3 linked regions of the Rattus norvegicus genome follow. The main gene of each other region encodes a partner of the protein of the gene in region 2 in a complex. Links are inferred from orthologs where the notes say so. Each region holds a gene or a part of one and is shown on either strand. Other genes may lie near its edges.

Region 1 (3,644 bases), on a different chromosome or scaffold from region 2:
AAGGCTATCTCAAACTATAGCTGAGGATGCTTTTGAAAATCTGGTCCTATTATTCTGTAAGGTGGCATTATGCCATGTGGAGGTCAGAGGACATCTTGAGACTGATGGGTTCTCTCCTTCCACTTGGCAAGTTCCTGGAGATCAAACTCAGGTTGTCAGACTTGGCAAGTTCCTTTATTTGCCGAGCCATCTAGAAGGCCTGGAAGCTGTTTTATCTGATTTACTGGTTTAGTGTCTGTCTGGTACCACCTAAAGCATTAGCATAGTCCTGACAGGTCCTATGGGGACAGCATCCTCCCAAGCCTATAGCATGGGGTAGACCAGGAAATGGATCTGTTAAAGAAGATACCTCCCAAGCCAGTCCTCATCCTAGCTTTTGGGATGGAGTCCTCCTCAGACCAGCCCCAGCTGAAGTAGGTGCTGCTCTCCCCCAGGCCGTGTCTACTACTTCAATCACATCACCAACGCCAGCCAGTGGGAGCGGCCCAGCGGAGGCAGCACCGTTGGAGGCGGCAGCAAGAATGGCCAGGGTGAGCCTGCCAGGGTGCGCTGCTCACACCTGCTGGTGAAGCACAGCCAATCTCGGAGGCCCTCATCCTGGCGGCAGGAAAAGATCACCAGGAGCAAAGAGGAGGCCTTGGAGCTGATCAATGGTGAGCAGGGGCAGGGGAGCAGGGGCTTGTTGGAAGGCCTCTTTCAGCTGGGCCAGAGGGCCTATCTCACTTTCTTTTCCTGTTCCTGTGACAAAGTACTCTTGACAAGGGCCAACAAGAGGGTTCAGCAGGCAAAGGCACTTGCTGCTAAAGCTGCGGGCCTAGGTTCCATTCCAGGATGCATGTGGTGGAGAGCCCACTCCTGGGAGTTCTCTCATCCCACCATGGAATGTATGCTTTCCTGCCCCAACAAATCAGTACAGTTTAACTGCTAAGCAGTTTAATAGAGAAAGGTTTGTTTGGGCTCATGTCACACACAGTTCCAGGTCACAGTTCACCACACAGGGAAGTCATAGTGAAGGAGCAGATCCTATCACAACCTTGTCAGGAACAAAGAATGATGTATTTGCTAGTTAGTGCTCAGCTTGCCTTCTCTGGATTTAAAAGAGAACCCCAGCCACTCTGGATTCGTCACGTGGACAATAAGCATTCCTCATCACGGACCGTGTAGAAGTCCCACCAGACCCTCACCCCGTCTGGTCAGCAGTCACTCCTGGAAAAGTGCTATACTGTATTAGGGTTGTGACTCAGTTGTTAACGTGCTTCCCCAACTCTCGGGAAACCTTGGCTTTAGTCCCTAGGACCCTGTGAACCTGGCATGATCATGCAAACCTGTAATCTCTGCATGGAGATAGAGACAGAGAATCAGAGGTTCAGGCTGGGGCTGGGAAGACACTTGCCACTAAACTTGAGGGCCTGAATTCAGTTCCTGGGACCTACATAGTGGAAGAAGAGAACCTACTCCCTCGGGCTGTATTCTGACTCAGTAGCATGTATGCACATATAAATGCATTCTTTTTAAGTCCTAGGTCCCACATACTGAGTTCAAGCCACGTGACGACCTTATCTTGAAAAGAAGTGCCTATATTGGGATGAGCTTGGCCCATGCAGGCCCTCGCTCTTTCTTTTCTGCTTGCCATTTGGAGTGGCCAGGTCTAGAAAGTCAGCACCCTTACTTGATAGTAGCAGTGTTTGATGAGCTCTGTGATCTAGGAGATTTGGAGCTTCACTCAAGACTCAGTTTTCTCTTGTGTGAAATGAGCACGGAGACATCCCAGAGGCCATTGCAGCAGTGCAGTGATAGAAGGCAGCCTTGGACAATGGGAGTCATCCTGAGTGATGATGTCATCAGGGAGAGGCCTGGGCAATAGACCAGGAACTGGTAAGCACAGAGCCGGCCCTGTAGAGTGAGGAGTCTGTTTTGATGAATATGTGTATAGGTGTTTGCCTGCATGTGTGTATGTATATGTAGCATGTGTGTGCCTGGTGTCAGAGGAGTTTAGAAGGCATCGAGTTAAAATTGTGTTAGGTTTTTTCAGCTACTACGTGGGTGCTGTAAACTAAACCCAGGTTTTTTGTAAACTTAGCCTGTGCTACAGGCATCTAATCTATCTTTTCAGCCGTGTGTGTATGGAAGTGTGGAAGTCAAAGGACAATTCTTAGGGGTGGACTTTCGCCCACTGTATGAGTCCCAGGGATTGAACTCAGATCAGTAGGCTTGGCAGCAAGTGCAGTCACCTGTTAGGCCATCTTGCCAGCCTTTTGTGTGATGTGTGTGTTTATTTTTATATACACTACATGAATGCCTGCTGCCCATACAGGCCATACATCAGATGCCCAGGAACTAGAGTTACAGGCACTTGTGAGCCGCCGTGTGTATGCTGTAACCCAAACCTGGGTCCTCAGGAAGAGCCAGCCAGGCTCCTAAGCACTGGCCCAGCTCTCCAGTTTGTGTGGTTTCATTGAGAACACTGGCTCACCTGGAACCTAGAGCTTATCGCAGGGGGATCAGGTGACAGTGTCAGGAGCAGTGTCTACCCCACTGCTAGCCTGGGCCTGGGGTGCCTCGAGGAAACAGACCCTCCGCATTCCTGCACTGGCTCCTCTACAGCTGCTGGACAGCAGCCAGAAGCCTGAGGCCCAGCTGTGTCGTTGCCATGTCCTTGTCTGGGACAGCCAAGCTGTGGACATACCCTGGCTCCCTGTTCCTGTTGCCTTGTCCCTGCTCATCCAGGTCCTGAGAGTCCAGGGAGACCAGAACCAGAGTGTGAGCAGCACCCTTTCCAGGCAGGCTTCCAAGATGAGCCACCTCCTCTGGCCGAGTGACGTCCACCCAGCCTGGGGGCCTGTGGCTGTGTCTCTGGCCCTCCCCAACCACACCCTTCCCCTGTTGGCAGCCTGTGATCTAAACATTTTCAGGTTGAGGAACCACCCTTTTGGTTCCTTATGTACCTTAGTCTGCAGCAACGCAATGCCTTAAGCTCTGTAGCTTAGTTTCCTTCTCACAGTTCCTCAAAAATCTATGCCTCATGTTTCCCCTAGAGTCACTCTCAAAAACCAGCCACCACCTTTCCCACTCTCCCCTGTACATTCCTAGAGAGATTGCTTTTCTGACTTGCAGGTAGCTCCTTCTGTCATGTCCTTTGGTGGCCTTGGCTGTCATTCGGCTTGGCTTGGTTTTTTAAGACAGGGTTTCTCTGTGTGGCCCTGGCTGTCCTGGAGCTCTCTGTGTAGACTATACTAGAGGTCCTCTGCTGCTGCCTCTCAGTGCTGGGATTAAAGGTGTGCACCTTGGCTCTCTTCATCTCCCTTTAAATTTAGAGCCTAGGCAGCCTGGTAATTCCCCATGTAGCCAACAGTGACCTTGAATTCTAACCTGCTCATCTCTGGCTCCTAAGTGCTGGGATTACAGGTTTGCACTGCTGTCCCTGATTTAGAGATGGAACCTGGGGCCTGGTGTAGGAAGAACAATCTACCAGTTGAGCTAAAGCCTGGCTGTACCTCTTCTTATGAATAGGTACTCATCGGATTATTCAGGGCCCACCCTTACAGACTCCTTGTCTCCCAGGATAGTCATACCAGGAACCATGGCTTCTTCATAATGATGTCAGGACACTGGCATGCAGCCCATAGCAGAGGAATAAGCATTTG
Region 2 (3,644 bases):
GCATGTAACACACACATGTGCACACACACACACGCACACACATGCGCGCGCGCACACACACACACACACACACACACACACACACACACAGAACATAGGTGGGGAACAATGCCATAGCCAGGAGTCCAAGAGGAAGTAGAAAGCATGAGATGGCAGTCTGAGGCATGACCCAGGGTTCTGTGCATGTTGGACAACCTCTCTGCCAGCTGGGCCACAGGCTCAGTTAGCATTACGACTTTGCTCGAGCTCTCTGGTAACTAGTGGGAAAGAGCTGCCTTCAGTCTCCTGCCTTGTTCTTGGTACACAACGTGAGGATGAGAATCTATTCCAGATAGTCCGTAGAGAACCCTCTAGGACAACCCTCCTAATGCTGCGTCCCTTTAATACAGTGCCTCATGCCATGGTGATTCCCCAGCCACAAAATTATGTTGGGCTGGAAAGATGACTCAGTGATTAAGAGCCCTGATTGTTCTTGCCAAGGCCCTGAGTTCAATTCCCAGCAACCTCATGGTGGCTCACGACCATCTGTAATGGGATCTGATGCCCTCTTCTGGTGTGTGTGAAGACAGTGCAGTATACTCACATATATAAAATAAAAATAAATAAATAAATAAATAAATAAATAAATAAAAATAAAATCTTAAAAAATAAATAAAATCATGTCATTGCTACTTCATAACTGTAATCTTGCTACTGTTATGTAAATTTACTGTGATGTAAATATCTGACATGCAGGATATGACATTCTATCTCCAAGGGACAGATTGAGAACCACTGCTCTGGGACCAGTCTCATCCACTGTGTTAACCCTCACATCCCCATATGACCTCCCATTTGCCCCCCCCTTACCTTCTTATTCCCTCCTCCAGGGACATGGGTGATGTTATCCAAGGAGCCAATCTTCGACTGGACTCTATCCTTGAAGTCCAGCTTCTCTGATTTTACTTCTACCTGGCCACCTCCTGGAATACAACGCACATGAGTCTCTCGTCATCTTCTGTGGTCTGGGGGACTTAGCACATGCTAAACGAGCTTGCAGCCTCCAGAGCTTGGGGGCTTGGGGGCTGCTGGAGACTCGATTAGATAGATAGATAGATAGATAGATAGATAGATAGATAGATAGATAGATAGATAGATAGATAGATAGATAGATCGGTCATGTGTCACCATTCAGGAGACACGTCCATTCTGACTCCAACACAGGCTGGGCCAGTGATCCAAGGAACAGCCCATTCTCTGAGAGTTGCCTGGGCTCTACCTCATCTAGAAAAGAGACTTAGCCACAGGAAGCTCTTGTTAGTGCTTGCAAACTACCTGCCTCTTCTCTAAGGAGAGGGTGCACAGAGGATATTTACCCTGCAAAATCTTCCTCCTGAGATGGTTCAGGGGTAGATGAAGCTTGGCCAGGAGAAGGCGCGCTAAATTTTAAAACCAGACGCCTTCCAGCTGTGGAGATTTTCTTAGGAATTTTGTACAGGATTGTAAGCCACAGCCCCTCAAGTCCTTGAGATTGAACTGTCTGTTAAATGTACAATAAGGAGAGAGAGCCTAACCTCCCCTTTGGCTCAGGTCACCACACCAGAGGGTAGCAGGAGGAAGGGACCTTTGCTGTTTTCCTGGGAAGGGTACTTTCTTCGAACAACCTTACAGTGAGGATAAGACAACAGCCCAGAAGCTCTCATGTTATAGCTGGTGCAGTCAAAGTGTCCCCCGTGCTGGGATATTGACAGAGCCAGCCTTTGGAGGACGCCAACCAGACCCAGGGCTGGCCCTTTTTTTTTTTTTTTTTCTTTTTTTCGGGAGCTGGGAACCGAACCCAGGGCCTTAGGCTTGCTAGGCAAGCGCTCTACCACTGAGCTAAATCCCCAACCCCCAGGGCTGGCCCTTTTATACAGGCATTTCAGGAGAGCAACAGGATGGATCTAAAACCAGTTCCTCCTCTCCTTCTACCCCTTGTCTAGGCTGAGAAGCAGGGGCAAACCCAGGCCCCAGGCCACACAGCAGTTTCCCATTTAACATTCACTGCCCAGGTTGGCCTACTCTAGGAAGCACCCACCAGCCCAGCCAGCACCCTTCTGCCCCAAAGCCTCCCTCCCTCAAGTGCTACCTGGCTTGTGATGGATGTTCCCTAAGGAACCACACTTGGAGGTCACCTTGCTCAGGTCCACTGGCTTGTAGACTATTTGCACCTGCAGGTCAAGGAGGATGGGGAAGAGACAGAGAACAAAGGAAGTTGTGTTACCAGGGGTAACAGTGCAAAGCCGAATGGACCACTTGTCAGTGGCTCCCATCAGCTCCTGAATACATCCCACTCGGGATGGAAACTATGCTCCCCAAATCCAGCCAACCTCCATCCCCCAGGGAGCTGGGTCCTCACCAAGTAGCTGTGAGACCTAAACATCTTCAATCCCAGATACACAAGACACTGTCACGGAAAAGCAGAGGTGCCTGGTCCTTGTATGTGACCACGGTATCTATGTAGCGGATACTTAAATATAAAAACATAAATCCTTTTATTGATGAAATTGATGACACCCAGTGGAGGAGGAAGTGATGGGCCTAGGCAGCCCTGCACCTTCTCCTCAGAAGAGACTCAGAGGAGAAGCCGGTGAGGATGTGTGTGCTTCATCCATGAAGCTCCCATGGTCTAGGTCAGCAGACAGGACCTAGAACGACTCTATGACTCAGGGTAAGAGCCAGTTCGTGTCTGGACATACAGACTCCTGAGCACTTCAGCCTCTACTGAGGAGAGCAAAGCGACACCAACGGAAGGCAGGCACATAGCAGGAACCACAGCTTCAGTGAGTGTCTCAGCAAGCATAAGTGAGCAGACAGGACACACAGGGAGCCCTGCCAGCTCAAGGGTCCTTCATGTGACCCAGCAACAATGCCTGCCCTGGGAAATGGTGGCTGCTTCCCTGACAGGACACCCTGAAGGAGACCACCCAGGCAGATGGGGCTCCTAAAAGCCAGTCTCTCAGATCTGTGGTTTTACAGCTTAGACAGCTAGTCATGAGCGGCCACTTGCTGAGTCCTGTGGGTCTCCCATACAGACCATGGTCATTCCAGGGGTGAGGAGTCTCATCTCCTGTCCCGAGAGAGGGGTGGCCTCATGTTCAAGAATCAATAAAGCAAGGTGGTTGCTACAGAGGTCTCAAAGGATAACTCCTTCTTGTTTTCATAGCTAGCTGTGCTGATGGTGTTCTGTGGGGTGTGTGTGTGTGTGTGTGTGTGTGTGTGTGTGTGTGTGTGCGTGCGCACACGCTTTCTGCTCATGAACCTGACAGAAGAGGAGGGCCGTGGCCTCACAAATCAGTGAGCTAGGGTGTCAGCCTTCCCCTGCAGAGGGTGGGCAAGGAGCAGATAATCCCAAGGACCTTCAGCAAACAGATCCAGAGGCCAGCAGGAGCTCTGGGGCAGGTAATGAAGGAGGAGCCAAGGGCCTCCAAAAAGGTACAGGAATGCTACAGGGACCTACCCCTTTCCCCTCTGGCCCTACCCCTTCCCCTCTGGCCCAGGTAAAGTCATTAGAGAGTCGTACCAGGGGTTGTGTTGGGGAATAGGAGATGGGGAATAGGTAGCCTGGAATGGTCAAAGGAGAAAGGAATGTACTGTGTGGTGAATTGGGGAGCAGCTGACTGTGG
Region 3 (4,440 bases), on a different chromosome or scaffold from region 2:
TTCTAGCGCCTACAACAGAACTGGAAACATGAAAGCTTTTGAAACAAGTCATTTTAAGTGAGTCACTCCCTGAAAGAATTTACATTGAAGCCAAAGTAAGTTGACTTCAGTATCTTGGAAGTAAAACCTGCATTAATTTGCTCATCTGCTTAGCATGTTATGAATCTATTGCTGTGGAAACGGGTTGTGGGGGGGTGATTGGCGAGGGGAGCGACTGGTCACAGGCAAATCTTTAGCTAGCTGTCATTTCAGGCAAGTTATAATTTGTAGAACAAGCTTGTGGTTCAGACAATGTATCCAACATACGGATAAGACAGTGGTAGGGAAAGAATAGCTTGTTATGAAGTCTTCCAGAGAGCTCTGGGCCGAATTCCTGAGGTTCTTTTTTCAGTTGTGCTTAGTGTAGCCCCCAAAAAATGTTTTAGCTCAGAGGAGCACAGTTAAAAGGAGCAAAAGCAGATACTTCATACAGAAACTGCATCTCCTTTCAACTTCCGTCTCCTGGGTGGAGACCTTGTGGGTTCAGGCACCTGCAATTTCCGCCCTTTTCCTCCCCCCCCCCTTCTTCCGGGCGTAGAAGCCCTGCTGCTCCTCCTCCACTAGGGCCCTAGGAACGACCACGCTCCCAAACCTTGCTTCCAGAACCTAAAAGGGTCACACTCTTACAATGCGTTAGTTAGGAACGATGCGTCTCCCAATGAAAGCCCTACGGAGGGTAAAAGCGTAGACCATGAAGAGCAGTTCGGTGTGTTCTAGCCTGTTTCCCCGCTTCGCCCCAAGTCAGGCTTCTACGATCACGTCCAACTCGCAAACCCAACCCTTTCCCCGCTCCTCCCAGCGACCACCCATTGTCCCCGAGGCTGTCACGGTGCGGACGCCGAACTCGCGACTGGAAGGGCAGGGCGTCATTCAGCCTCGCGCTTTTCCAAGCCTTAAAAGGTCTAAGGCCGCTTCCTGCAGCAGGCAGGTAAAGCGGACCGCGGGAGGGAGCAACCGCGCCCGCCCCGCCCCGCGACGGCGGGGCCGCTGCCCTGCTCCGGGGTTCTGATCACAATGCCCTGGCAGTAGAGCCGCTGTCACCCTGCCCTGCAGCCTGCCCGCCGCCATTACCAGCGCAGAGAGAGGGCGGCCAGGCGGGAGGGGGTGGGGTGGGGAGATGCGAAGGTCCCGGATGTGCCCGCCAGTAGAGGTGGGGGCGGGGAGAGGCTTCCTTCCGCGGGCCGCAGGGGCGGGGAGGGAGGGCAGCTCGCGGGGGCGGTGGGGAGAGAACTGAGCACGCGGGTGAAGGCAGGGTCTGGAGCGGAGCGGAGCGCGGGTACGCGCTCTCCTCCGCTCGCCCTCGGGCGCGGGCGGGCCGGCCGGGCGCGCGCAGGGGAGCGGCGGTTGCGCTGGGCCGGAGAACTGTGGGCACCAATCAACGGTTGCCATAGCAGCGTTTGACGTCATCGTGCGTGTGGTGCCCCTGCTGCCGGGGCTAGTGATTGGAGGAAACCCCGTGTCTGCGGAGCGGCTGTAGCCTGTGAGCAGCCAGATCAGGGACAGAGTCTCAGCCTCGCCGCCACCGCTGCCGCCGCCCAGAGACTGCCGAGCCGGGTCCGTGTGCCGCCACCCACTCCGGACACAGGTGAGAAGCCGCCCTGAGTCGGCCTCCGCTCCCTTCAGCCCTCCGCTGCGCTGCGGGCCGAGAGGGGTCTCCCCTGGAGGACCCGGGCGGCGGCTCGGCTCCGCCGGGCCCGGGCAGGCGCCCACCGCCGCCCCCGGCCGCTTGCTTCTGGCCTGCCCGGCTGCTCATCGCCCCGTTCTGGTCCCCGGGTGGGGGTGGCGGATCAGGCGCCCACGCGCGATACCCAGGGGCTCCTACTCCCCAGGGCGACCGCGATCCGCCCCCGCCGGCACCCTGCTTCCGCCCGCGACTGTGACTCGGTCGTGGCGCAGGTGAGGCCGCCCCCACCCGCGGTACCCCCGCCACCCCTCCCCCACGCGGGGGGCAGCCAGGTAGCATGCGGGGCGCTGGGGTGGGGCTCGTCGGGGACCCTGAGTTGGGCTTGCTGGGTCCCGCAATGCCGGAAAGGACTCTCGGGGCGCGCGGTGGGGGAGGGGCGCGGCCAGAGCTAGGCATGGGGTCACAGGGGCTCGGGGTCCCCAGCGTCCCGGGCCGGTGGGAGGTGCGCATCCTTCCCGGAGCCCCGGCCCCCTAGTGGGGGCTGCGCCTGTCTGGGTGGGGCCCTGCCCCTCCCCCTACCGCAGCTGTCCGGGCTTCGGGACTCCGGTCGGACACAGGCGGAGGGGACCCTGGGCGGGAGCGGGGTGTGTCCGGCGCGGGTCGGCCGCGGTTCCGCTTCTGCGGGCGCGGATGGCATCGGGCCCCCGGGAGGGTGAGTCGCTCTCCCTCCCCCCCCCCACCATCCGACTGGGGCGGGTGCGCGGACTGCTCCACCCTCTGCCCGGGTTGGGGGGGGGATTCACAGTCGGAGTAGGTTGGGCTCCTTGACACAGTTCCGCCATGACAAAGAGAGTCGGGGACTAGCGCGGAGGCACCAGCCTGGGCGGAGCCAAGGAGGGGAGGTGGCTGCGGATGGCGCGGACGCCAGGACTAGCGCTTTAAAGTCACCGCTGCGCGGTTTCGGTTCGCCCCACCCGCCGGCCTCGGGCAGCTAAGGGTTAAGTGGGTGCGGCGAGTATTCCCGCAGTCTGAAGGCGAGGTCCGGGAGCACTAGTTTTCCTGTGAGAAACCTAATCCACTTCCCCTTATACGGGAGGTTGGCAGAGGAACGTTTGTACTGACTGGGCTTACATCATTTTTTGGAAGCAACATTTACCAGAGACGGTTTCTGATGTTAGATTTCGAGACCCCGGGGGGGAAGTATGGGTTCACAAATTTTAAATAGTTGATGCACTGAAGGTACTGTGTCTCGAATTTAAGCTAGCTCCGTGTTTCTGTTCTGGACACTGCTCGTTTGGCCAACCAAAAAGAGGTCGTCCTTTCTGGAAAGGGAAAGGAAAGGATTTGATAATTTCCATGGTGGGCGGCTGTGACTCTTATGCCTTTCGATGTGCCTTCAGGTTGTGACTTTTTCTTTATATTTTGTGGGATCACTATATGATTTAGAATCTTGCTCTTGACATGGTTGAAGAAATAAGTAAATTGGAATCTAGAGATCGTTGAAATTGAGCAAAAGAAAACTGAGAAACTATGAAAAAGAAGAGCTTGAGTACTTCTGTGACTCGAGCTAGAAATAATGCGGTAGACATTGGAAGCACTCGGGTCCTTCCGTGTGTTGTAGACTCAGTGCACACTCATAGTAGGAAGTATGGGTGTGTGCTGAAGCAAGAGGTCATACAATGCCATATAGAGACAGATTTGGTCTTGGCTTTAGTGAGTCCTAGTGGTAGTGTGTTCAAGATGTCTTAAGCAGCAATTAGCCAATTATCTTGAGATAATTTTTATTCCATGATCAGCTGGCAAATGTTACAAGTGTAGTAGATCAGGGTTGGGGAGGTGCTAAATAAAACTCAGTCACTCTTGGTAAGAATATATACATATAAAGGTTAGAGTATATGAGTTACATTACACTGACATGACTCACGATTCTGTAGGTATGCACTTCATAAGCATTGTAGATCCCAGTCCCTACCCTAATCCTTGATGCCCATGCACACACCTGAGGGTCCCTACCCACAATCCCCTCATGCCCATGTACACACCTGAGGGTCCCTACCCACAACCCCTTCATCCCATGTACACACCTGAGGGTCCCTATCCCTAACCCCTTCATCCCCATGCACACACTCGAGGGTCCCTTCCCACAACCCCTTCACCTCCATGCACACATTTCGAGGGTCCCTACCCACAACCCCCTTCACCCCCATTCACACACTCGAGGGAACGCTGCTCAAGTGGGTCATTTAGTGGTATTAGGATCAAGTGATACTTTGGCCAAAGAAAATAGAGGTGGGTTTTTAAGTAGCTTATATGTCCATATATGCTTTGATCTTACTTGAAATTGGGATCTTCTGAACATCTGGAACATGCAGTTTGACTAACCCACTGTTAATATTCAGACTATGCTAGTTTTCTGGTTGGTTTGGGGGCGTGGGGGTGTTTTAATTCCTCAAGCTAGGTTTGAGATGCTGGTGTGCCTTATTTACGACAGGTATAACGAGTGTGTGTTTTTCACAGGAGTTTTCTGAGTGTTTCTCTTGTTCACCTTGCAGAATATCCAGTTATGGATAAAAATGAGCTGGTGCAGAAGGCCAAGCTGGCCGAGCAGGCAGAGCGATACGATGACATGGCAGCCTGCATGAAGTCTGTCACTGAGCAAGGAGCCGAGCTGTCTAACGAGGAGAGGAACCTTCTCTCTGTTGCTTATAAAAACGTTGTAGGAGCCCGTAGGTCATCTTGGAGGGTCGTCTCGAGTATTGAGCAGAAGACGGAAGGTG

The links.
Region 1: the proteins of Mapt (region 2) and Pin1 are in contact, whole or in part, in an NMR structure (PDB 1I8H), measured with the Homo sapiens proteins. The link is inferred for Rattus norvegicus from reciprocal best matches to the Homo sapiens genes MAPT and PIN1. Residues at the interface, in NP_058519.3 of Homo sapiens: Val546, Arg547, Thr548, Pro549, Pro550, Lys551, Ser552, Pro553; in NP_006212.1 of Homo sapiens: Arg17, Val22, Ser32, Gln33, Trp34.
Region 3: the proteins of Mapt (region 2) and Ywhaz are in contact, whole or in part, in a crystal structure (PDB 8QDV), measured with the Homo sapiens proteins. The link is inferred for Rattus norvegicus from reciprocal best matches to the Homo sapiens genes MAPT and YWHAZ. Residues at the interface, in NP_058519.3 of Homo sapiens: Ser637, Cys639, Gly640, Ser641, Leu642, Asn644, Ile645, His646, His647; in NP_001129171.1 of Homo sapiens: Glu14, Leu43, Ser45, Val46, Lys49, Arg56, Arg60, Lys120, Arg127, Tyr128, Glu131, Gly169, Leu172, Asn173, Val176, Glu180, Ile217, Leu220, Asn224.

Annotation. Positions count from the first base shown.
Region 1 is NC_086026.1:27,468,557-27,472,200, forward strand, and holds part of Pin1 (peptidyl-prolyl cis-trans isomerase NIMA-interacting 1), read left to right. Parts: intron 1-434; coding exon 435-653; intron 654-3,644. UniProt on the Homo sapiens protein: Peptidyl-prolyl cis/trans isomerase (PPIase) that binds to and isomerizes specific phosphorylated Ser/Thr-Pro (pSer/Thr-Pro) motifs.
Region 2 is NC_086028.1:89,725,591-89,729,234, reverse strand, and holds part of Mapt (microtubule-associated protein tau), read right to left. Parts: intron 2,190-3,644; coding exon 2,108-2,189; intron 963-2,107; coding exon 850-962; intron 1-849. UniProt on the Homo sapiens protein: Promotes microtubule assembly and stability, and might be involved in the establishment and maintenance of neuronal polarity.
Region 3 is NC_086025.1:69,845,837-69,850,276, reverse strand, and holds the start of Ywhaz (14-3-3 protein zeta/delta), read left to right. Parts: upstream 1-1,574; 5' UTR 1,575-1,624; intron 1,625-4,215; 5' UTR 4,216-4,226; coding exon 4,227-4,440.